Linked DNA regions of Drosophila melanogaster. The protein of the gene in region 2 interacts with the protein of the main gene of each other region in a pairwise test. Each region holds a gene or a part of one and is shown on either strand. Other genes may lie near its edges.

Region 1 (6,331 bases), on a different chromosome or scaffold from region 2:
CGAAATACCAAAAAACGCACACCCAAAAATGCGCGCACACCAATGCAAACACCCACACAACCACACGCACGCGCCCCACACAAGCACACACACACAGACGTTGTGTGTATGTGCGTGTGTATACAAGGCATACGAACGCAAGCTGCAAAAGTGCGTTCGGAAACAGAATTTCGGGGCTGTGGTCGCAGGCCCAAAAAGTGGAGCATATAACGCACAGCCACCCACTTAATCCAGCCCCTTTCCACAACTCCCTCAAATGCACAGAAAATAAAAGAAACGAAATATCAATAAAAGTAATATTTTGATGCGCCTATTTTCTAAAGTTCAGATGAATTCTGAATGCACATGAATCGTATGATTGGTTTCTCGTTTAGAATCTATCCATTGTATATAATTATATATATTGTTACATTATTATTACTATATAATATAATAATATTATATTGCTTGTACTTCTAGTATTATTTAATTTATTACTTTTTCCTTTTCCACGTTTTTTTTTTTCAGTGCGCTAACAAAAGTTGTGTAGCTAAGCAAAAAGTTGAGTGACGAAGAGCAGGGGAAGACGTAGGTCCAAAAAGTGCGTGCAGTACTGCAAAAGCAAATGGAGAGCCAAAAAGAGAAGCACAGGGGTGGATTTAGGAGGTGGAGTGAGGTTTATTGGCGCTCGACCGAAAAATGCACTGCATTTTTCGTTATGGAAAGGGTTTGATCTAGTGGTATTTTTATAAAATAAAAATATATGAAATTAATTTAAAATGCATCGAAAAAGAATTATTAAGGAACGCGTTCCGGAATAATTCCACTTCCGACTGGGGAAGCAAAAGCAGCAGCAAAAGCAGGAGCTTTTGCCTTTGCTTATTGGATTTTCGACGCCGGCACTCCACGTGTTTCTTGAATCGCGTAAATTGTTCGTTTTCCCTTACCACACCCCGCCCCTTTACCGACAAGCTTTCATTGTCATTGTGTGTGCATAAAATGGCAGCAGAGAGAGAGAGAGAGAGAGAGAATGGGAAAACATGCGCCAAAAAAAAGCTTACCGCTCTCTCCTCTCTTTCGCTCACTGCAAAACGAATGCGCATTGTTATTGTTTTTGGCAAGGCTGCACTGAAAAAAAAATACTGTTGCTAACGAACTGTCAATGAATAGAAATAAGGTAATTGTTTGATTCAACTTTATCAACTCTTTTTCCACTAAAATTAAGTGGTTATTGTTTGATTGGCTAGGAATTTGATATTTTTGATGGGAATTGCATTCAAAAAAGGGACTCCTGACACTTGTGTGAATAGGGGAAGTTTTTGGGCTGAGAAATGAAAAGCATTTTGAGGGTTTTTGTTCCAATTTTGATGGTTTGATCGGAAAGTTCTCAAGGGATATGCAAATTATGCGAGAACTGAGTAGTTAGGTTATTATTGTTTTCTTCCTAGAAATCAAAGACCAATTGTAAGAATTTTCTAAAGAATTCCAAAGAATTCCACTAAAAAAATTTTATCCTTTACTTTTGTTTTCTGAGAGTGATCAAGATTTTAAAGAAACGTAATGCGTTCTTTTGCATTAAAGCTATGCAATTAACATTTTTCCCATATTCCCATCTTAACTCATTGTGCCGATCTTAAAGTGGTTTTCCATATAAATCGCCTCTTGCGAACCCTATTTCTATTGCATCTAATATTCAGAGACCACCTGGATGGAATCCCCCGCTGTTCGAATAGGTTAAGACCAAGTTAAGGTTTGCTTTTGCTATTTCGGGACGAGATTTCCCTAAACATTTTCCACTTGAGCGGAGCTCCTATAAATTACCTCATGTCCTTTGCCTTATGCAATTGCGCCTGCAAAAGAGAGAGTGAGAGAAAGAGTGAGAGACTCACCCCCGGATTATGAGGATATATGTAATTTTTATCCTGGGGCGGCAGTGCATACACACAGAAAAAGACATGCAAAAAGCAGTTGCAACGACCATTACTTCTACTCGCCTGAGTAAATTGTGTTCTAAAAATCATTAAAAAAAAATATGTAAACTATTTTCTGTTATACTTTAGACTATTTTCGGTTATCCTTTTTAAGAATCCTTGTTGGAGATGTCCAATCTGACAATTGCAAGTTGCTCGCCTGCATTCCAATTGGATTAAAAGCTCGCTCGCTCGCTCGCGCTCTCTTTCTCTCTCTCTCTACGGAGCACACCACTGCACGCTTGTTCGTTCGCCGCCTGTTGGAATCGAAATCGAATCGGCAGTCAAAAAGAAACTGCCGTGTTGAACGGACGTGTTGAAGTTTCGCGGTTGCTTGTTTCGGTGGTGCTCGCAGCAGCAGCAGCGTTTGTGCATTCGCATTCGCAGTCGCAAATTCGCATCGCCTCGTCGCTCGTCAGCCCTGGCAACTGCAGGCAACTCAAGTTTTACACGTAAATTAAGAAACGAGGAAGCACGGACAGAATCGAAACCGCTTGATAAAACAGTTATTCTCTACATTTCTGAACTGAAAGAACTGCAGCGGATGAAGTGCAAAAAGCGAAAAGTGCTAAAAGTTTGCGGCATTGAACACTTTTAATTATTATTTACGTTTTGTTTGTGTTTCGTCGAGCAAAGCAAATGCACAAACTAACTGTCCAGTGTGCATGTGTGTGGCAAGAGTGCGTGAGTGCGTCGTGAGTGTTGCAAAACGGCTGTTCGCCTAGTAATTCAAAGGTAATTTTGAGTGAATATTGATCATATTGAAGTGCATGTGGTATGTTTCAAAGCTCAAATAAAGTGACATAAAATCAAAAATGAACAATTATGCGTGTGTACTTGGTTTTCTCGCACACATGAAATTCTGGCCTATGTGTGTGTGTGTGTGACTTTGCAACTCGAATTTCAAACGGTACAAAACGCAGCATAAAAAATGAAGCGAATAGCAAAAGCAAACTGAGAAAAAGTGAAGTATAGACTTTTATGCATAACCAAAACGTCTGCATTTTTAATCAAGCAACAACAATAGAAAAATAAGCAAAAGCAAACTACAACAACAACAGCGAGGAGTACATGGAACAATAAACAACCCTCCCCGTTTTCCGCCTCCCCCTGAAAATAAACAAGGCGCAATACCAGTGAACTGAACCCCTTTTTTGCACTGTGTGTTTATGTGTGTGTGTGTGTGTGTGTGTGCTACGAAATAGCAATTAAGGGAGAATAGAGGAAAGTGCATGAAGTGCAGGAAAGAAGGCAAAATGCAATTAATCCCCAGGACACTTGTTCAAAAAAGCGAGAGAAAAGTGTAGAATAACGGTGAACAAGTGTTGAACAACTACAGAAATACACTACAAAATGTGAAAACTTCTTAAAAATAGTTTTGAAGTAAATGTTCTTAAAACAATTAGACAATTCACTGCTCAAATAAAAATGTTTCCCCTTCCCCAAAATTTCCAAGTCCCAATGCCATATAAAGTGTTTTTGAGTAGAATAAAAGACATTTGCCAGAAGCAAAGTGGGAATTACGGTCCCAAAATGGGAAAATGAAATATATTCTGCGATAATAAAATCATTAATCCAATTCCACTTACAAGAAATCGGGCTGATAAGAAACCAGAAATTCTGGGCACAAATGAAATGAAATTTATTCGGGTGAACTGTGACAAATTAATATAATATTAAAAAGAAAATGAATACTTAAAACATGTCACATTATCCCCGAATAGATTTGAGTTTCAATCAGCCAAATTCCACTTACACTTTTTAATAACAATTTTCTAACCGCTTTTGTATTTGCAGCCAAATGTCAATGTGAAAATGTCTCAACGAGCAAATTTTAGGAAAGTCAAGAAAAACATTCAACGACCTCAAAACCAGCGAATGCTACAAAATGCGAATCAAGAACATTTAACCATCTAAATATTCAAAATCAATTTAATTGAATCAAATAACGCGAAATTGCAACAAATCAACCTAAAAATGAACTGAAAACAAAAACATTTCGAAAAACAACGCAAAATTCTAAAATTGGCAACATAAGTTTTGGTCTTGAATTAAATACAACAAAAATAAATTAACAAAAAACGATTTTTGGCAACAAAACATCATACATAAAATATACACAAATTGTAATTATCTCAAAACGTCCACACGTGAAAATGATTTGCAACTAAGATGACAATCTAATAAAATCAATGTAAATTTTTAACGCAACAAAAGGAAAACCAAAACCGTCAGCAAAAACCAGCCCAAAATCAGTTGAAAAGCCGAGGGAAATCTTTTTAGAACAAACGCAGAAAACCGCAAAAATTTAAGCCACCAAATTGGTAAACTATTCAAAATTATTGGTTCGGACATACGCAATACTAAACACAGCAACACAACAACAACAACAACAACAGCAACAACAGCAGCCATAGCAACTACTACAGTGATCACTACAGTAAAAGCAACCGCAACAGAAGCAGCAGATAAAACGTGTGTGTTAGTTTGCATAAAAATTTCGTTTCGATAAAAGCAAAGCAAAATCATTTAACAAAATAAATAAAGAATAAAGTAAAAAAAAAAATTACCAATCGTAATACATGTATTTATAAAATATATACCTATACATATATCTATGCTTACGAATTATATCGGAGAATATTTGGTAAACAATTTTTGATAAAAACAACTCGAGTATATATCCTAACTAATTAGCAACAAAAAGAACTAGAACATTTGGCCTAAGTGAAAAAAAAAGTGAAGTGAGAAAAACTAAAAAGAAAAACTTATAAATTCAAAATTACCACTTGTGAAAGGTGTTACAACTGAGGATTCTGGATTTGGATTAATGCGTAAATTTGCAATTGAATATTAAGGTGAGTTTGTTATGTTATATTTATGAAAAATTCACAACTTGTCATTTTTTCACACATCTCTTCGCATTTCTTAATGGCCCTTTTAAGTTTCCCCACGCACGAAAAAGTGCGTAAAATGAAAAATGTTTTTTTTTTTTTTAGAAAGTGTCCACAAACATTTGCAAACAATTACCGCTCGTAAAAAAAAGGCAAGTGCTCCGCCTCTAATTACAATTATAATTTATGCAAAAAGTAAGGAAAACATTTTTTGGTCAAGAGAAAAATTGTCTACGCACTTTGCGTATGATTTATGACACTCAAAACTTGGCGTTGCATATTAATACGCGAGAAAAAAGCAAAAGTTGCTTGCTTGTCACTTCTACATGTGTATCTACGCACACACACACACAAACTCTCTCACACACTCACGCACGGAAAGGGGTGTAGATATTTTTTGGGGTTGTGCATAAATTAAAAATATATTACTTCTGCTTCTTGCCGATGCACAAAAAAAAAAAAAAAATGCGGCGCAGTTGACACGCAATATTTTTCGACTGCGCTGCCGGCGCCGCTGCCACTTTGACCTACTTAGCAAACGCAGCGTGTTCCAAATTTTGTGCGTTGTGTACTTCTTTGTACCGCTCTCGCCCCCTCTCCCTCGCGCACTCGCCCCGTCCCGCTCGCACGCGTTGGGGTTGGTCTGGCATTGCGTGCGCTGGAAGTTGTAGTTTTTGTTTCAGTTTCTGTTGTTGTTGCTGCTGTTGTTGTTGTGTGGGGTCTTCCGCATTTAATTAAATGCACAATAGTTTTTAAAGCTTTTACACCTCAAACAATTTCAACAAGCATTTAAATATTCAATATGCATTTTAATTCCTAAAACCTCACTTAAGTCTACAGAGATTGAAAAAAAAATAATAATAATAATTCGAAAGAGAACGAATCTTATAGATACTTCAAATATCTACAAGATACATCAGTACTTAAGCTGCTAAAATAATAACAATAATCAGTAAAAATCTACAGAAGACGCACTATTTTTTATCTGTGCAGCAATTTCCGTGGCGCTTTTGTCTTAGTTTTTGTCTGCTGCATTTTCCCCGGTCGGAAGTGCGCTCTTTCCCATTTCCCTCGCCTTCTCACGTGCATTTGCACAATCGTTAGGTTTTTTCTAAGAATAACTCGCCTTTGGAGCAGACTGCGCGGCTCTCCCTCGTCTTTCTTCTTCTTCTTCTTGTCTTAGCCATGTTGTAACTGACGCAATGCAACCGACTTCATTGTTTTCTTTTTTATTTGCTCTTGTTGTCGGCACTTGCGCAAAGTGCCTATGATATGCTCCCAACCCCCCCACTCCACCCCTTGTTCACCAGTAAGGCGAACGCATTTCGGTTCTTCTGCCCAAATTGTTTCAATTTTATGACTTGCCACTGCAGTTGCCTGAATTTTAATGCCACCGATTACCAAGAAGGCGAAAACGAGCAACAGCGTTGCAAGCATGTCAGTTTTTCCGATTGTTACTACAGTTATTATAGCCCTGAATTTCAAGGG
Region 2 (5,829 bases):
CCCGGCGGAGCGAGTGGCAGTAATCAGGGCGCCTACGAGATTGTCGGACTGAACGTGATGTCCCAGCCGCTGCCCAACTGGGATCATCATGGCGGAGGAGTGGGAGGTGGCGGTGTTGTGGCTGCAGGAGCAGCAGCCGCCATCCTTGGAGGCGGTGGTGGTGGGGGCAATGGCCTTACGCCGGGCGAGGCTGCGGCGATGACGCAACGACGAGGTCCTCGACTGGCGGCCATCAACGAGACGAGCACCAGCACAGTGCCCTCGGACTATGTCTAAATGGAGTAAGCGTTTAAATACAAACATAATGTGAAATGTTCAGCGAGCTTAACATGTTAATAGGATATAGAAGTACGTTATATACACCCCACAGATCTAAGGTTAAATTTACATAATATTTAACACTGGCATACCATAGTGTTTAGTGTTTAGCATGGACTTGTGTCTTTGGTTAATGTCTGAAATTATAATCTGTACCCGTTGCCGATATTGGGATATATTTATACACACTTACAAGGCAAGAATGTATTATATGTCTAGTTTTTATGTAGTCTCTAAGCAACGATTTAATCGTGGGTGATATTTAGCCTAAAAATATGCTATATTCTTATGTTCTACGTACTTTAAACATTTTCTAAAAATGTAAAAACGACAACAAACGCATTTTTTCATAGGCTTAGAACGAGTGAAGTGAACGCGATGGACAAGAAATCGTATTTCCCCCCAGGATCAGTACACGCAAATATAGAAACGATATATACATACGAATACAACATATTTATACACTCAATATTTACAGCAGCCGAAAAAAGAAAACGCATTTAGCTCACCAACATATATAACTATACAAATATATATCTATAACAATAACTGAAGAATCATATTTACAACGATTTTAATGCAACAGATTTCACCATATTTACCGGGGGAAATGATCGTGGCACGTCATATCATTTACCACACCATTATACATATGTATGCAAAGCTATCTATATACTATACCATATACAATAAACAGACTCACGACCTTTAGCAGATGTACTTTAGTTTTTAGTGGTCCGCGGCAGGAAGCGAATCCTCTGCCGATTTATTTAGTAACACACACACACACACACACAATTCCTGTACATTATTGTTTTAGTTGAAAATATAATTAAACAATTATTGATATTTACATTCTGAATCCCAAAAGGAAATGGTTCTTTATTGGAGTATTTATTTGTCGATACAGTAAGTACAATAGTACTCTTAAAGTATATAATTTCATTTTTAACCGAGTAAAAGGTTTTAGTTCATAAAAAATAGGTAATAAGAAAACAATTTTATAAATTCAACAAACTTAAAGTTTAAGAAACAAACAGAACGAAACAAAAAACTATAACTACACTTCATAAAAGAATATGCACTTTACCCTTTACTTCCTGATTTGGATAACTTGGCATATTCTCAAACGTGAATAACTTAAACCAAAGTTTATTGCAAAACTCCCCGTATCCTTATACTTCCTGATTTATTGTCAGTATTCGAAGTTATTGTCGTTTACTTAAAGTGTAAGTTGCAAATGTGACTATAATACTAAACGTCTTTTACCCTAATCTTCCTGATATTTTCGTTGTTAAGGGTAAATTGACATACATAAATGGTAAGAAACTAAAAGTGCAGTTTCTTTAAAATAATTCACTTTACCCTACACTTCCTGATTAGTGTTATTAAGGGTTATTGTCTCCATTCATAATCTCTTCTTGTTTTGTTAACATTATTTGGGGTTATCGTCATATACTTGTACCTTCCACCTTCTGATTTATTGTCATTAACTTATACCCTACACCATAAGATTTATTGTCGTTATTGCGGGTTGTTGTCATATTAATTAGTTTCTTGATAAGATAGAAAAACTACAGCTTATTAATTAATGCCATTTACCCTAAACTTCCTGATTTGTTAACGTTATTAAGGGTAAAATGGCATGTATTTGTGCCATTAGAAACTAAGACTAGTTTATTAAAAATTGCCTCTTCCCTGCTCTTCTAATTCGTTATCGTAATAAATCCCTCAATAAAGGAGGTATGTAAATATTAATTAAGTTGTGAGTCAAGTAAAATACGATATGAATGTTGTACTTTCCACTGAACCTAAAATAGAAATATGTTAACTTCTTTAACCCATGCTAGTCAGTTGCAGCAGAGCACAAGCGGTCTGCTGATTATCCCCCGATTCGTGGACCTTGCGATGGGTGCGCAAGGCAGAGGGTTGTATAAATTTCTTGCCGCAAACGTGACACTCAAAGTTCTTTTCGCCAGTGTGGGTCATTTCGTGATATTTTCGCGTGTCGGTGGTGGCAAATTTCTTTTCGCAATAGCTGCAGGCATAATCTCGTGCCTTCTCGTGGATTGCGCGGATATGTTTCTTAAGACTCGTTGAGCTGTTGCAAACTTTGGGGCAATCCTTGCAGGACCAGGTCCTTTCCAGAGTATGATAGTTGATATGCAGTCGCAGTTCGTTTTTGGTCGTCTTCTTGAGACCACAGTAGGGGCAACTAAAGTTCTTTATGCCCTGGTGACGCATCATGTGGATCTTGAGTTTCTCCGTGCTATAGAATCGCATAGAACATTCCGGCAGTTCGCAGGCATATGGCAATACCAGCTGGTCACCGTGTGTGAACCGATGCTGGCTTAGGGCAGAGCCAGTCTTGAACACCCGACCACAGAACTCGCACATATGGGTCTTCAAAGGCTTGCCAATGTCGTGAGCCTTGCTTTGGTGGTATTTCAGCGAGGCCTTGTGCCGGTACATCCTGTTGCAGCCCTCCTCCTCGCAGACAAACCGCATGCCCACTTCCGAGTGCTCTAGCTCGTGCTGCCTGAGGTTCTCGAATCGGTTGAAAGCTTCCTCGCATCCGGGCTCAGTGCAATGATACAGCATGTGTCCCTGGTGTTCCTTCTTGTGCAGAATCAAGCGTTTCTCCTCTCGAAACTCGTCGGCGCACAAGTCGCACTTGTATGTGGTCAATGGCGGCTCCTGAAATCATTGAATACAACTTAACTTACACTCCTGTTTAAACCTTAAACCCAAACTCACTTCCAAAGCTTTCTTTTCCGTTTCCGGGGGTTGCTGGACATTTTCGGTGAAGGTATGGAATACCAAGGTTGGCGGTGCCTGTTCAGCGACTATTGGGGTATTTTGTGCACTCAAATTGGTATCACATATAATCATCTCCGGCGGCTCCAATAGAAGTTCTTCCAGCTCCAGCTCCTCTTCCTCATCTTCATCGACCTCGTAAACAGGTTTCCTGCGATCTATTTTCTTCCAAGTTACCAGACTTTTAGAACGCCACTTATTGTCGGCTATAATGCAAAGTGCTCGGAAGGAGTGGAACTTCTCCAGAAGCTCGTAGCACTCCGAGCAAATTTCGCTGGGCAAAATATCCTGGTCATCAGGATCCACCACCAAATTTGTGCACTCCGAAAATTTGACGGCGAGATATGGATGGTGCAGCAAATTGTAGGCCTCGTCGTCTCTAGCCACATCGCTGGAGCATACGCGGCATTTGTCCAGGTGTCCCATTAAGTGGTTGAATCAAAGTTATTGAGACCTTTTTTTAAATTCACAAGAAAAAATATTTTTCTGTGTCCTGTCTGCCGTTTTTTCTTATCGCTGTTGTTTGTATACTAAACAGCTGATAGGGCTGGCAAAAATACCGCTGATAGCAATAGTGATGGCAAATAATAGCGTGAGTTGGAAGGGGTTAAATAAATATAGTATAAATGTTTAAAAATATCTACTGTAAGCATACCACAAATAATGTTAAATACATTTATATTTTTAATCCTTGCACGTACAATAAATGAAATTAATCGTGACTTAAAACAGCTTGTTACTCGTGGCACATCTCTAGCACCCTGTGCTAAAGTCACATCTCTAATGGGGGGTGTATAAAAAGTTGTGCTGTTGCAGTTTGTTATTTATTTTTTTCCAGCACAACAATGGATAATTCCAATGGAATCCACTACATTGAGCTAACCCCAAATCCCATACGATTTGATGCTGTCAGCCAACTAACCAATGTGTTTTTCGATGACTCCAACAAGCAGGTATAGTTAAAACATGTTAAAAATCCATGTTGATGATGGCTAAAAATCTATATCTGTAAAGATATTTGCTGTTCGGTCTGGAGGAGCTACTGGTGTGGTGGTCAAAGGTCCTGGATCTCCCGACGATGTCGTCATCTCCTTTTGCATGAGCGACCGTGGCGGTGCCATAAGGTCCATTAAGTTCTCGCCGGACAACCAAATCTTGGCCGTTCAGCGAAAGGAGAATTCCGTGGAGTTCATATGTTTTCAGGGAGATCAGCCTCTGCTGCAGGACATCATTACCCACCAGGTGAAGACTCTGATCCATGGCTTTGTTTGGGTCCACAATCGAGAGGTGGCCCTGATTTCGAATACCGGCGTGGAGGTCTACACCGTAGTTCCTGAGAAGCGACAGGTGCGCTCTGTGAAATCCCTGAGCATTGGCATCAAGTGGTTCGCCTGGTGCTGCGATGCCAATGTGGCTCTACTGTGCACCAGCGAAGGAAACTCCCTGATTCCGGTGCTGGTCAAGCAGAAAGTAATCACCAAGCTGCCCAAAGTGGACTGTAAGTAATCCTTTTGGGTTAAAATCCTTTAAAAGCGTTTTAATCTTTCCTTTCAGTGGGCAATCCAAGTCGCGATGTCCAGGAGAGCAAGGTCACCTTAGGCCAAGTTTACGGCGTGCTGGCTGTGCTTATCCTCCAGTCAAATAGCACCACCGGACTGATGGAAGTCGAGGTGCACTTGCTCAATGGACCGGGCTTGGCTCCACGCAAGTGCCATGTGCTCCGCTTAAGTCTGCTTGGTCGCTTCGCCATCAACACGGTGGATAATCTGATTGTGGTGCACCATCAAGCTTCGGGCACTTCGCTGCTATTCGACATCTCCCTGCCCGGAGAGGTGATCAATGAAATAACCTATCATACACCCATAACTCCAGGGCGCTCCATCAAACCGTTTGGCCTGAAACTGCCCTCACTTTCGCCTGATGGACAAATCTTGCAGTGCGAGTTGTGTAAGTTCTTTAAATATCCAAAAAGTTACTTTATTTGACACTTATACCCATGCAGATTCCACGCACTGGGTACTGTTCCAGCCAAATATTGTAATCGATGCCAAGTTGGGTTGCATGTGGTTTTTGAACCTCTGCATTGAACCATTGTGCCAACTGATTTCGGATCGCATTCGACTTACAGAATTCCTGCTGCAACGCAGCAATGGCAAGCAGATGCTATTAAAAGTCATTGGACAATTGGTAGATGATCAGTATAAGGGAACTCTATTGCCAGTCCTAGAGACCATCTTCAGTCGGATTAACAAGATCTATGCGTAAGTTAAAGACGTTATTTTCATCAATATATATTTATTACATTATGCATGGTATACTTTAGGTCTTGGGTCCAGTTGGAGCTGCAAAATCAAACCGCTCAACCGTCGAACGTAAAAACTACTACCCTGAAACAGAGCACACCGCCCATTGTGCTCATTGAGCAACTGGATATGGTGCAAATCTTTCAGCGCATAGCTCGTCGCCCGTACACGGAATCCATATTGATGCTCTACCTGCAATCCCTGAACAAGTTCAACATTGCCGCCCAGGAGGAGCTGAGCAAGATGATCATCAGCGAGCTGATCTCCAATCGCAGCTTCGACACCTTGCGACGCTTGGTCAGCTATTCAATGCTGCTGGAATCCAAGTCGGTGGCTTGCTTTTTGTTGTCGCATTCAAATGTGGATACGGCGATATCCCAGGTGGCCATCG

What was found. Proteins that work in one complex are often made in the same cells at the same time.
Region 1: the proteins of CG10147 (region 2) and chinmo interact in a two-hybrid assay, tested with the Drosophila melanogaster proteins (one large-scale study listed by BioGRID).

Annotation. Positions count from the first base shown.
Region 1 is NT_033779.5:1,649,029-1,655,359, forward strand, and holds the start of chinmo (chronologically inappropriate morphogenesis), read left to right. Parts: upstream 1-2,229; 5' UTR 2,230-2,684; intron 2,685-3,746; 5' UTR 3,747-4,807; intron 4,808-6,331. UniProt on the Drosophila melanogaster protein: Required for morphological differentiation of postmitotic neurons during postembryonic brain development. Ensures production of appropriate neuron subtypes within a lineage by preventing precocious generation of late neuronal types of that lineage.
Region 2 is NT_037436.4:6,484,781-6,490,609, forward strand, and holds CG10147 (uncharacterized protein), read right to left. Parts: upstream 3,645-5,829; 5' UTR 3,562-3,644; coding exon 3,076-3,561; intron 3,016-3,075; coding exon 2,155-3,015; 3' UTR 1,387-2,154; downstream 1-1,386. Other genes in the region: CG42747 (uncharacterized protein), read left to right, coding at 1-276; bulli, read left to right, coding at 3,981-4,088, 4,150-4,633, 4,690-5,082, 5,138-5,396, 5,459-5,829.